Linked DNA regions of Canis lupus familiaris. The protein of the gene in region 3 interacts with the protein of the main gene of each other region in a pairwise test. Links are inferred from orthologs where the notes say so. Each region holds a gene or a part of one and is shown on either strand. Other genes may lie near its edges. The genes, in order: EIF4A3, EIF4A2 and PDCD4.

Region 1 (3,747 bases), on a different chromosome or scaffold from region 3:
AAGAGAGAGAGAGAGGCAGAGACACAGGCAGAGGGAGAAGCGGGCTCCACGCAGGGAGCCTGACGTGGAACTCGATCCCGGGTCTCCAGGATCACGCCCCGGGCCCAGGCGGTGCTAAACTGCTGTGCCACTGGGGCTGCCCTGGTAGCCGTATTTTAAACATAGGTGCAATGAACTGAAATCACATATTTTATGTGACTCAGTATATGTAAAATATTGTCATTTCAGTCTACAGACAACATAAAGGTCATTCACCAGGTATTTTACATACTTTCACCCTGAAACCCACGTGTACTTTACAACCCAGCCCTAGACCACAGCTTGCCAAAACTGTGTGCAACCTCAGAGAGGGCATCCCGAGGGCTTTGGGATGATGCTTCATGGAGTAAGAAGATGTAACAACTCACGTTTTATTTTAGAGTCTAAGAAAGTCAGGTTTAGAAATATTTAAATTCGACTAACACCAGCATTCTCTTCAGGTGTGTTCATCAGATGAACCATCCCATAGGGATTGAATATGTTGGGCCCTTAAGGCCAGAGCTTCTGCAGGCAGGTAGCCCTCGTTTACTTGTTCCCTGCCAATGAATTGTAACCCACTGAACTCTACGCATGTCTGGTTTAGTGGATGAAACGATTATCCGCTTTTTTTCATTAAAGATTTTATTTATTTATTCATGAGAGACACAGAGAGAGAGGCAGAGACACAGGCAGCAGGAGAAGCAGGCTCCCTGTGCGCAACCTGATGCAGGGTTGCAGGACCCCGAGGTCACGACCTGAGCCAAGAGCAGCCGTTCAGCTGCTGAGCCACCAGGCGTCCCAATTATCCACTTTTAAGTAAATGCACCTTCACAACAGAGGAGCACTCAAACAGCCCCGGAAGGACGCCGAGGATGAAAGGCCCAGTGATGGGAGCCACGCCAACGGTGAGACAGGGAGTGAAGTCCTCACCAAGGGAAGGGGCGCGCGCGACTCCCCGCCTGCAGCGGCGCAGGTCGGAGCCAGGTCAGGGGGTGACGCTGGTCCAGGAGGGGCTCTCGGGGACGTCTGGGCTCAGACGCGAGACTGGCTCCCGCGCCCCGAGGTCAGCAGCGCGGGCTCCCCTGCAGCGCGCAGGAGCCCGGGAGCTGCAGGTGCAGCGCAGCAGCGACGCTTTGCAAGTTCGCGCTGCACCTGTCGCGGCGAGCGGGCGCCCTCTGCCCGGGCCTCGGGCCTCAGGCCTCGGCGGGAGGAGGGTGCGGAGGGGCTGTGGGCTCCGCGGAGCTCCCCTGGGCCACCAGCCCCGTTGCAGACAACCCGCGCAATACGCGATCCCCGCCGCTTCGGCCGTATTTATAGGGCCTGGGCGGAGCCCCGCCCCTAGCGAGATCCCGCGGCAGCTTAGACCTCGCGAGAGCAGTAGCAGCCCCCGCCCCTCTCACGCGGAGAGCGGCTCAGGGTCCCGACGCACGCTCGTGCGCACGCGCGCGGTGACGTCAGTTCCTGGCGCCGGCGGCGCGGGGCCCTGCTTCCGCTTTCCTCCGCGGCGCGCGCTCCGCTCTCAGCCGACGCGGGATCATGGCGGCCGTGGCCACGATGGCGACCTCGGGCTCGGCGCGGAAGCGGCTGCTCAAAGAGGAAGACATGACCAAAGTGGAGTTCGAGACCAGCGAGGAGGTGGACGTGACGCCCACGTTCGACACCATGGGCCTGCGGGAGGACCTGCTGCGCGGCATCTACGCCTACGGTCGGGGGCCGCGGGGCGCGGGCGGGGAGGGCGAGGGCGCGGCCCGGGGTGGAGGGCGACCCCCGCCGGGCACCCTGCGCTCGGCCTGCGTGGGTGTCGGGGGTTCGGCGGGTCGTCCCCGGGCGCTTGGGGGGCGCTGCCGCCGCGGATGACGGGCAGGGGCCGGGCCCGCGCTGCCTGGGCCCCGAGGGAGCTCCGGGTACTTCGGGGAGCCGGGATGCTTCGGGCGCTGGTGATGGCTGCGAGGGGGCGGGTGGGGGCTCCCGGGGGGTTGACCTGTGAGCCCGGGTCTGCCCCGAGGAGCCCCTGGCACGACGGAGCAGCCGGTGCCAGTAGCCCGCAGCACGGAGCGGGGTGCTCTCCAGGGCCAGGAGGAAGCGCTCCGTGGTGGGAGCCCAGGGGCTACTCGGGAGCGGCAGGCAGGGCCGGATCTCGCCCAGCGCTCTGTGAGCTGAAGAACAGCTCGCATTTTGTTCCTAAGTGCAGAGGGAAGCCATGGGGTTTGAAGCAAGGGGAGTGGCAACGCTGGGGTCTGCACCCTCTGAGTCCGTGCGCTAGAAGGGGCATGAGAGGTGAGGCAGGGGAGGTGATGACGTTGAGCCGGGGAGGGGTTGAGGATTCCCCGGGCGTTGTGAGCAGCCGGTGGGTGCTGCTGGCGATTGCTCATGTGGGGAGCCCTCGGAGGCAGGGGAGTCTCAGGGGCCTGTGAGCCACCCGGCTGCAGGTGCCGGGAGCCTGGGGAGAGACCGTGTTGGGGGTCCAGACCGGGGCGATCAGCCTCTGTGCTGACGCCTGGGCCTGGAACTCCCTTTACCCAACAGTCCCTGGTGTTAGTTACCAGGTGTAAAGCAGAGAGGGGATGGGAGGTGACAAAGCGGAGGTGAGGCTGATGGTCCTACCCACCTCTCAGCCTCCCCGGCAGCCCTGCCCAAAACACTGTTTTTAGTTTCCCCGCCTGTGTGCTTGCTTGGATGGTCGCTGTGAGGGTTTTTTAAATCATCCGTGTTACAGTTTTAACTTTAGACGGGAAGTCCGGGCTGAGTTTTAAAAGGCTACCGAAGAGTAACTAAGATATATTTTATGCACGTGAGCTTTTGTTTACTTGGGAAATGTTTTTTTTACCCTCTCCAAGTAGCCTCGTTCTAGAGTGATGTCGTAGCTGGTGAAGCTGCATCACAAGTGGAAGGAGCGCAGCGGGCACTCCGCGGAACGGCCCGAGCCGTAGAGTCATTGCTGTGGCAGACAGCACAGACAGCGTGTAGAGCTGATGCAGAGAGGAAAGAGGGGGCGGCCACGGTGCCACTGGATTCATTTTTCTTTCTTGTAGCATAAAAAGTAATGGAAATGTTAAAAGAGCAGCGCAGGCTATCGTAACGTACGCAGTGCAGGAGGAATTGAAGTAAAAGATGAGCCTTTCCCATCCATTCTCAGGAGCACCACCATTAACATTTGGGTGTTTTTTTGTTTTTTGTTTTGTAATCTAACTGGGGTCTCTGCGTTCTGCAATGTTCCTTTTATAGAGATTTTGTCTGTGCACATAAGATCTGTGTTAGTGTAAAAATACAGTTCAACCCAATTCATTCAGCAGCTGTTTCTTGAGCTTTGGTGTGTTGGACTTTGCGCTAAGAGGGGTGGACGTGGGGGCTTAAAAAAAGATACCATCTGTGTCCCAAGGAGCTGCCAGTGTCCTCATGTTAGAACTTTCGCTTTCTTTTTACAGGTTTTGAGAAACCATCAGCCATCCAGCAGCGAGCCATCAAGCAGATAATTAAAGGGAGAGACGTCATTGCTCAGTACGTCACCGGTAGAGAATGGGGTTAGGTGCTTGTCAGCTGAGTACAGCGCTTTGAGGGGACCCCTGTTCTCCCTTTCCACATATGTGTCAGTAGCCCTTTCCTCAGCTTGAGCCACGGTGTCTTGTTTTTTGTTTTTGTGTCCTTTAGAAAGCTGTCATATTCTTAGCCAGCTTCACTTACCTAGCAGCTGGCATGCAGAATGGTTTAGCATACTCTCTTAATGGCTTT
Region 2 (3,747 bases), on a different chromosome or scaffold from region 3:
GACTGATCTGTTTCATGACAAAAGTCCCTTAACGTGTCTTCCTTGTGCCTTGTCAAACTTGGGATCCTGTTACCCCAGATACCACCTAAGTTAATTAAATGATTTTAGTTACATCATTTCCTACATTGCTTTTCATTGTGTAGGAAGGTGTAAATAATGGAACAAACTCTGTAAGTAAGCACATCTAGGGACAACTTGTTGGTAACTTTAGTCTTTCCCAAAGTACTGGAGCTTACGTCCTTTCGACCTTAATAAAACCTAGTTTTATTAGCAAGGTCTTACTTCAAAGCCAATATAGCAGTGAGCTTTGAAAACATAGCATGCAACAGATGCATCACAAACTACTGAGACAGTCAAATAACATGTCACTGCAGTTTTCATGTTGCACAACTGCATTCAAACTTAAAAATGGGAACAGATGTAGTCCACCCTGAAAACACTTTGGTTTCTCAAATCTGTTACACAACCCTGCAAACCATACCTGCACACCCAGTTCCTATTTTTAACTCAACAAAAACTCCCTGCATGCATGGACAATTAGGAGGGCTCCTATCGATAGGACCAATTTATACTAAGTTTTAAATTCTTCACAGTTGTGAAACCTGAAACCTATGCAACACGCAAGCAGTTTTTTTGAACTACACTATCAATACCTGTTGAGCCAGTTCTCTGGTGGGGGCCAATACTAGTGCTTGGGTCTCCTTGAACTCAATCTCCAACTGTTGCAGGATGGAAATAGCAAATGTGGCTGTCTTGCCAGTACCTGACTGAGCTTGAGCAATCACATCATACCCTAAAAAAAGTAGGATACATATTTACCGATCCCACATCAAACCGCCACTTCTAGTTCACACCATGTATTCCGTTTGGAACATTAATTATGCCCAAATAATCAAGTGATCAGCAATGAGTATTCTCTTCATTTCAGGTCAGTCCCGAAAGATGATTGCCATCATTTCACTTTAAGGAATACAAACAGGTGCTATTCCCCCAGAAGTTACTTTCCCTTTTATGGTCCAGGTCAGTTATGTAGAACAGTTAATGCATGTTTCAAAAAGGGCTAGCTAGCTCGTTTACCTTTAATACAAGGAATAATAGCTCTCTGTTGAATAGCTGAAGGCTTCTCAAAACCGTAAGCATAGATGCCCCGAAGAAGAGACTCCTTTAAATTCATATCGTCAAAGTTATCAACAATCTCATTCCAGTTGCTCTGTAAATCACACACAAAAGGACGCCTGAGTAAGTCGGATGAACACCTCACCTTGCCCACGTTCCAGAATCCAACACAGAGGTCTTACCTCGATGACACCATCGGGGTCCATTCCCTCTGGGCCTCCATGTTCTCTGCCGACAAGAACACCGCAGTTAGAGAACGTCCCTCTCCCCAGCCCTCTTACCTGCACGGCCCGGGGACGGCCTAGGCTAGGCCGGCCACTCTCCCCACACGTGCGCACCACCCGCGCCTGCAGTCCGGGGAGCCGGCGGCGCAGCGCCCGTCACGTTCCGTGCGCGCCCGCCCCAAGGCCGACCACAGGGGACGCCCAGGAAAGGCCCACGGCCGCCGGCCCTTCCCCCAGCCCGAGCGCCAGGCGCTCCCGTCTCGGCGCCAGCCGGTCTCGCGAGAGCTCCACGCGCTGAGCTCCGCCCCTCACACTGCGCAAGCCGCGGTGATTGACGCGGGCCGCGGCCCGGCGAGAGCGGTGCCAACGGTTCGCGGGGACCCGGTTGCCGGCGCGGCCCCATCCGCCCGCAAGGCCGCGGCCGGCGAGCGGGCGGGCGCCGCCGTCCCCTCCCCCCGCCCAAAGCCGAGCCTGCAACTCGCGCCTTCCGCCGCCGGTAGAGCTCCCCCCCCGCTACACGGTGTCGACTGCGGACTGCGCCACCGCTCAACTAAAACGTGCGCCGGCGGGCGGGGGACGCGCCCGGGATGCCAGGGCGTCTTCGGGAGGGGACGGGGGGAAAAAAAAGCCCCTCCAACCAGTCCGTTTTTGTACCCTCGTCTCCCCGCAGGCCAGGCCCTACCCATCATGGAAGCTTCTCGAAGGGCAGAGAGGCGCTGAGCCTCCAGGAAACGCCCGCGAACCCGCAGCCCCCAGGCTGCTCGCCGACCGCCAGCACCTCCGCCGGCGTCGCACGACCCGCCACGACCCGCCGCGACCCCCGGCCCCGCGGCAGCGCCGTACCTGTTATAGTCCGCGGAGCCACCAGACATGATCCGAAGAGCCACTCAGCGCCCGACTGGAAAGACAGCGGCGCCGCGCCACCCGTTTTTTATAGGCTCGCGGCCGGAACCCGTTTTCTCGCGGAGGAATTTTCTCGTCGCTCTCCGGTCGCCCACCAAATTGTGATCCTGGGGTCCTTACCTCGGAGAATAGCCCAAGCAAGTGGGTGGGAAAACCCAAATTTGGTTATTTCTCGATATTACGGGGCCGCGGGACATGCCGGGGCCTTGGGGGCGGCTGGGACTCTTTGCCTCGCGGCGGAAGAATATTGCAGCAAGCGGTGGCCAAACCGCGCTCCCGGCCCGCCCCGCTCCTACGGGGTTTCCGCGGCCCCGAAGCAGAGGCGGCCGGGGGAGCGAGCGGCCGGGAGGCGGAAGCCCGGGGCGGCTGCGTGCGCGGCGGCCGGCCTCTCCCCGCGGGCGGCGGGGCGAGCTTGCGGTCCGGCGCCCGGGGGTGGGGGCGGCGGCGGCGGCGGGGACGGGGACGGGGGCGCGGCCTCGCGCTGCACGGGGGCACCTGGGGCTGCCCCGCCGGCTCCCCCCGCGGCTTAATTCTCCGGGGAAGAGCCGCCTGGCCTTCGGCGGGGCGCTTAACACCCATCCAGAGCCTAAAAGTGTGAAAACTTCCTGCTCGGGAAAATGTCGGCCTCCGAGCAGGTCCCCGAAGCCCGGTGCCCCCGGCGCACCGCAGGGCACTGTGCCAAGCGAGGCAAAAGCGTGCAGTGCCCTTTGCAGGGGTCCCCGCGGCAGCCGACGCTGCTCTCAGGTTGCCCCCGGTCTCCTCTCGCTCGCTCGCTCTTAAAAAATAACGCTGACCGCCCTAACGCGTGGGGAATGAATGCCCGACAAAATCATCCTGAACTTTTGCAAATGGTTAACAGCTAAGGACTGGTTTTCCTTACAACGTAGGAATTTAAATGGACGCTTCCGGCAGATAGAGCTCCGTGCCCCCTTTGGGACTAGATAGATTTTTTTTTTTTTTTTGATTCGGGTCTATGTTGCTCTTTTCTTTTTTCCCCCAAAAGGCTTTGAACTTTAATTGCTTCATACCGAATGCATGTTGATTTAGTGGAAATTGAGAGCGATACAACCCCTGCTGCTTAAATAAACTGCACGATTCTTGAAGCCGCGGAGGTTTCCGACTGTAGCCCTGACCCAGGCCTGGGGTAGGCCCAATGCATTTAGTCATTTCATTTTAAAAATACTACCCACACTGCGAGATATCATCAGGGAAACATTTTTCTCGTTAATTCAGAAGGCCACCGAAGATCTGCTACCTGGAAAAACTGACATAATTTTCTACGTCTGCGTATGATGGTTGATTCTAAATACATTGCTTTCAAAAAAAAAAATTATTGTGCCAAGAACTCTGAGAAAAACTAATACCGAGATGACAAAGTAGGCGTAGGTCTCAGTTTAGGGATGCTGCTCCTAATTAATCCCCCTGTAATAATGTTCAAATTCAGATTTGAGATAATGCGGGATATGTTCTGCAAATGGAGGTCAAAGATCTTTATTGTCTCAAT
Region 3 (3,647 bases):
GGACAGAGGGAGAAGCACATTCTCTGTTGAGCAGGGAGCCTGATCAAGGTTCAGTCCCAGGCCCCTGGGGTCATGGCCAAAGCTGAACCAGACATTTAACCAACTGAACCACCCAGGTGCCCCAAGTTGACTGTTTTTCGATAAATTCTGTTGAGGTAATACAACAGAGTTTCTTTAGTAATGATAACTGGGAAGAATGTATATTCTTTTGAACATCATAAGATTTATAGATATGAGGTTTCTTTTAAAATATTACTGTTTAGGATGGTAACTCTGTGGTAAATTTTATTTGGGATTATCTTTTTTCTACTATCTTTTTTTCAGTGTTGAGAATGTAAATTTTGTTTTTTCTTCCTTATGCTGTACCTTTTATTCCCATAACTTGCTCCTTCCATAGCTGGAGGCCCCTCCCCTCTGGCAACTGTCAGTTTGTTCTCTGGGTTTACAAGTCTGATTCTTTTTTTGTTTACTTGCTTTTGATTCCACATACGAGTGAAATCATATGGTATTTGTCTTAGCCTTATTTCACTTAGCTTATTTCACTTAGATCCAAGAGGGTGTAAATTTTTAACAGATTTTATAATGAACATATATATTTTTAATGGAAAATTTCTAACTTAGACAATAAGTAGAATAGTATAACGAAAATGCTTGTACTCATCTCCCAGCTTTACCAACTTCAATAATTAATAACTCATGGTTAATCTTGTTTTATCCTGTACCTCCATATATTTTTCCTCTTGTATCCCCCTGCATGCATTCCGCACCCCAGGCTCTGGATTATTTTGAAACAAATCCCAGACATCATGACATCTGTTTTGAAGTACTGTCTTTGCATGAAAATAACACAAGGTGATGAGAATTACAGACCGGAAATTATATTGTTTTTATTCCATATTGTTTGTATAACTATTTTAGCTAATTGTTGAACATGGAAATATTTCTAAGAGAACATGAAAAAATGTAGGACTCAAATACCATAGAATCTTTGCTAAATATTCTAATATTGTCTGAATCGTTACGTCCATTAATTTATAACTCTTTCCCTCCCAGGAGAACTGTGTTTATGAAACTGTAGTTTTGCCTTTGGATGAAACAGCATTTGAGAAGACTTTAACACCAATCATACAGGAATATTTTGAGCATGGAGATACTAATGAAGTTGCGGTAGGTTTAAAATTGGAAGTATGATTTATTTAATATAGTAAAGAAAACACTGTTAAAAGAAAAACATCATATCCAAAATGATCTTGAATCACAGAATAAGTATTTTTTTTAAAGGTTTCATTTATTCATGAGAGACACAGAGAGTAGCAGAGACACAGGCAGAGGGAGAAGCAAGCTCCCTGCGGGGAGCCTGATGTGAGACTCGATCCCGGAACTCTGGAATCATGCCCTGATCCGAAGGCAGATGCTCAACCGCTGAGCCACCCAGGCGTCCCAAGTTTAAGCATTTTCTTTTGCATAAATGAATTTCTAAGAAGTGGAGTAAAATTTCTTTAATATAGATTAGCTCTTTCTTTTTTGGCATGTGATGAGGGCTATATGCCATTTTTTCCCCTGAAAAACAGCACAGTAATATTTTAACAATTATTGTAGTTATATATTTTTATAATTTATAGTGTATAAAATAATACTAATAATTTCTAGCATCTATAGACCTTCTTAAATCTCTTTAAGGATCTCAGTTAAAAATGACTGATTTAGTTCTATTTTTTTTTTGACATTCATTTAAATGCTCAGGATTAAGATAAAATTTATCTTTGTAGTCTATCCAAAAGAAAGAGAACATAGATACAAAGATTTGAAAAAGAATATATGCAGAAACCAAGAGAAAAAGTGTATTTTTGAAACATAATTTGTAGGATGCCTGGGTGGCTCAGCAGTTGAGCGTCTGCCTTTGCCTCCGGAACTCCAGGATCAAGTCCCACATTGGACTTCCTGCAGGGAGCCTGCTTCTCCCTTTGCCTATGTCTCTGCTTCTCCCTGTGTCTCTCATGAATACATTAATAAAATCTTAAAAAAAAAAAGAAACATAATTTGCACGGGAATATTTCCTGTGTTATGAATTGTTCATAAAGTATATCTAAAAAGGTAAAATAAAGCTACCTAACTAGGATTACAGACTTGAAGTACTAAAATGGCAACTTTTTTTTTTTTTAAGATTTTATTTATTTATTCATGAGAGTGACAGAGAGAGAGGCAGAGACATCATCGGTGGAGGGAGAAGCAGGCTCCCTGCAGGGAGCCTGATGTGGGACTCAATCCCAGGACCCCAGGATCATGCCCTGAGCCAAAGGCAGATGCTCAACCACTGAGCCACCCAGGCCTTCCCCCCTTTTTTTTCAAATTGCAATTCTTTGAAGGCTTTTATGATTTTTTTTTAAATTTATTTATTTATGATCGACACGGAGAGAGAGGCAGAGACACAGGCTCCATGCAGGGAGCCAGACGTGGGACTTGATCCCAGGTCTCCAGGATCACCTGGAGGTGATCCCAGGTCTTGATCCTGGACTTGATCACCTGGACTTGATCCCAGGTCTCCAGGATCACCTGGCGCCAAAGGCAGGCGCCAAACTGCTGTGCCATCCAGGGATCCCATGAAGGCTTTTATAATTTAGACTCTTATATTTCATACTGGGCTTTCTTAGTTTGTCTGATACCATGAGATCTGATATCCTTAGATTTGTAGGATTTGAACATGAATATTTGTTGGGTTTTTCAAAGATTTTATTTATTTGACAGAGAGAGAGAGAGCACAAGCAGGGGAGTAGCAGAGAGAGAGAGGGAGAAGCAGGCTCTCTACTGAGCAGGGAGCCTGACGTGTGGCTCAATCTCAGGACCCTGGGATCATGACCTGAGCAGAAGGCAGATGCTTAACAGACTGAGCCACCCAGGCGCTCGTAAAACAAATATTCATTCAGTACATACCATGTGAAGGAATTTGTAATAGGTTTTTCTTGCCCTTCTGAAGCTTGGCCAAGTGAGGAGAAATGATATTATAAACAGATTATTAAAATAAAATGTAAAGCCTTCTGTAGTAGAGGTGGAGTTTAAGTATTATAGGGGCAGACCATTGAAATCCTATCTAGGGCAGCCCCAATGGCTCAGCAGTTGAGCATCTGCCTTTGGCCCAGGGCATGATCCTGGAGACCTGGGATCAAGTCCCACATCAGGCTCCCTGCATGGAGCCTGCTTCTCCCTCTGCCTGTGTCTCTGCCTCTCTCTCTCTCTCTCTCTCTCTCTCTCTCTCTCTCTCTCTGTCCCTCATGAATAAATAAATAAAAAATCTTAAAAAAAAAATGAAATTCTATCTACCTAGCATAGGACTAGTGGTATACTATGTATACTTATTAACTGAGTAGTACTATAAGCGCAGTGTTATGGAAGCATAAAATTGAGATGATTCTGAGCTACATAAGAGTGATTAGAAGTTTGCCAGGGTAAGATGGTTGAAGAGTTTTCCAGAAAGGAGAAGTATCCCTGTTTGTTTGTTTATTTTTTAAGATTTTATTTTTTTATTCATGAGAGACAGAGAAACAGAGATATAGGCAGAGGGAGAAGTAGGCTCCCTGTAGGAGCCTGATGTGGGACTCCATCCCAGGACATGGAGATCACACCCTGAGCGAAAGGTAGACACTCAACCA

Evidence for each region.
Region 1: the proteins of PDCD4 (region 3) and EIF4A3 interact in binary tests that used the Homo sapiens proteins (3 or more experiments, as listed by UniProt). The two-hybrid records come from large-scale screens. The link is inferred for Canis lupus familiaris from reciprocal best matches to the Homo sapiens genes PDCD4 and EIF4A3.
Region 2: the proteins of PDCD4 (region 3) and EIF4A2 interact in binary tests that used the Homo sapiens proteins (3 or more experiments, as listed by UniProt). The two-hybrid records come from large-scale screens. The link is inferred for Canis lupus familiaris from reciprocal best matches to the Homo sapiens genes PDCD4 and EIF4A2.

Annotation. Positions count from the first base shown.
Region 1 is NC_049230.1:2,443,893-2,447,639, forward strand, and holds the start of EIF4A3 (eukaryotic initiation factor 4A-III), read left to right. Parts: upstream 1-1,495; 5' UTR 1,496-1,554; coding exon 1,555-1,723; intron 1,724-3,443; coding exon 3,444-3,516; intron 3,517-3,747. UniProt on the Homo sapiens protein: ATP-dependent RNA helicase. Involved in pre-mRNA splicing as component of the spliceosome. Core component of the splicing-dependent multiprotein exon junction complex (EJC) deposited at splice junctions on mRNAs.
Region 2 is NC_049255.1:19,523,887-19,527,633, reverse strand, and holds the start of EIF4A2 (eukaryotic initiation factor 4A-II), read right to left. Parts: upstream 2,300-3,747; 5' UTR 2,213-2,299; coding exon 2,184-2,212; intron 1,345-2,183; coding exon 1,299-1,344; intron 1,211-1,298; coding exon 1,078-1,210; intron 964-1,077; exon of another isoform or gene 895-963; intron 794-894; coding exon 654-793; intron 1-653. UniProt on the Homo sapiens protein: ATP-dependent RNA helicase which is a subunit of the eIF4F complex involved in cap recognition and is required for mRNA binding to ribosome.
Region 3 is NC_049249.1:22,436,693-22,440,339, forward strand, and holds part of PDCD4 (programmed cell death protein 4), read left to right. Parts: intron 1-1,053; coding exon 1,054-1,167; intron 1,168-3,647. UniProt on the Homo sapiens protein: Inhibits translation initiation and cap-dependent translation. May excert its function by hindering the interaction between EIF4A1 and EIF4G. Inhibits the helicase activity of EIF4A. Modulates the activation of JUN kinase.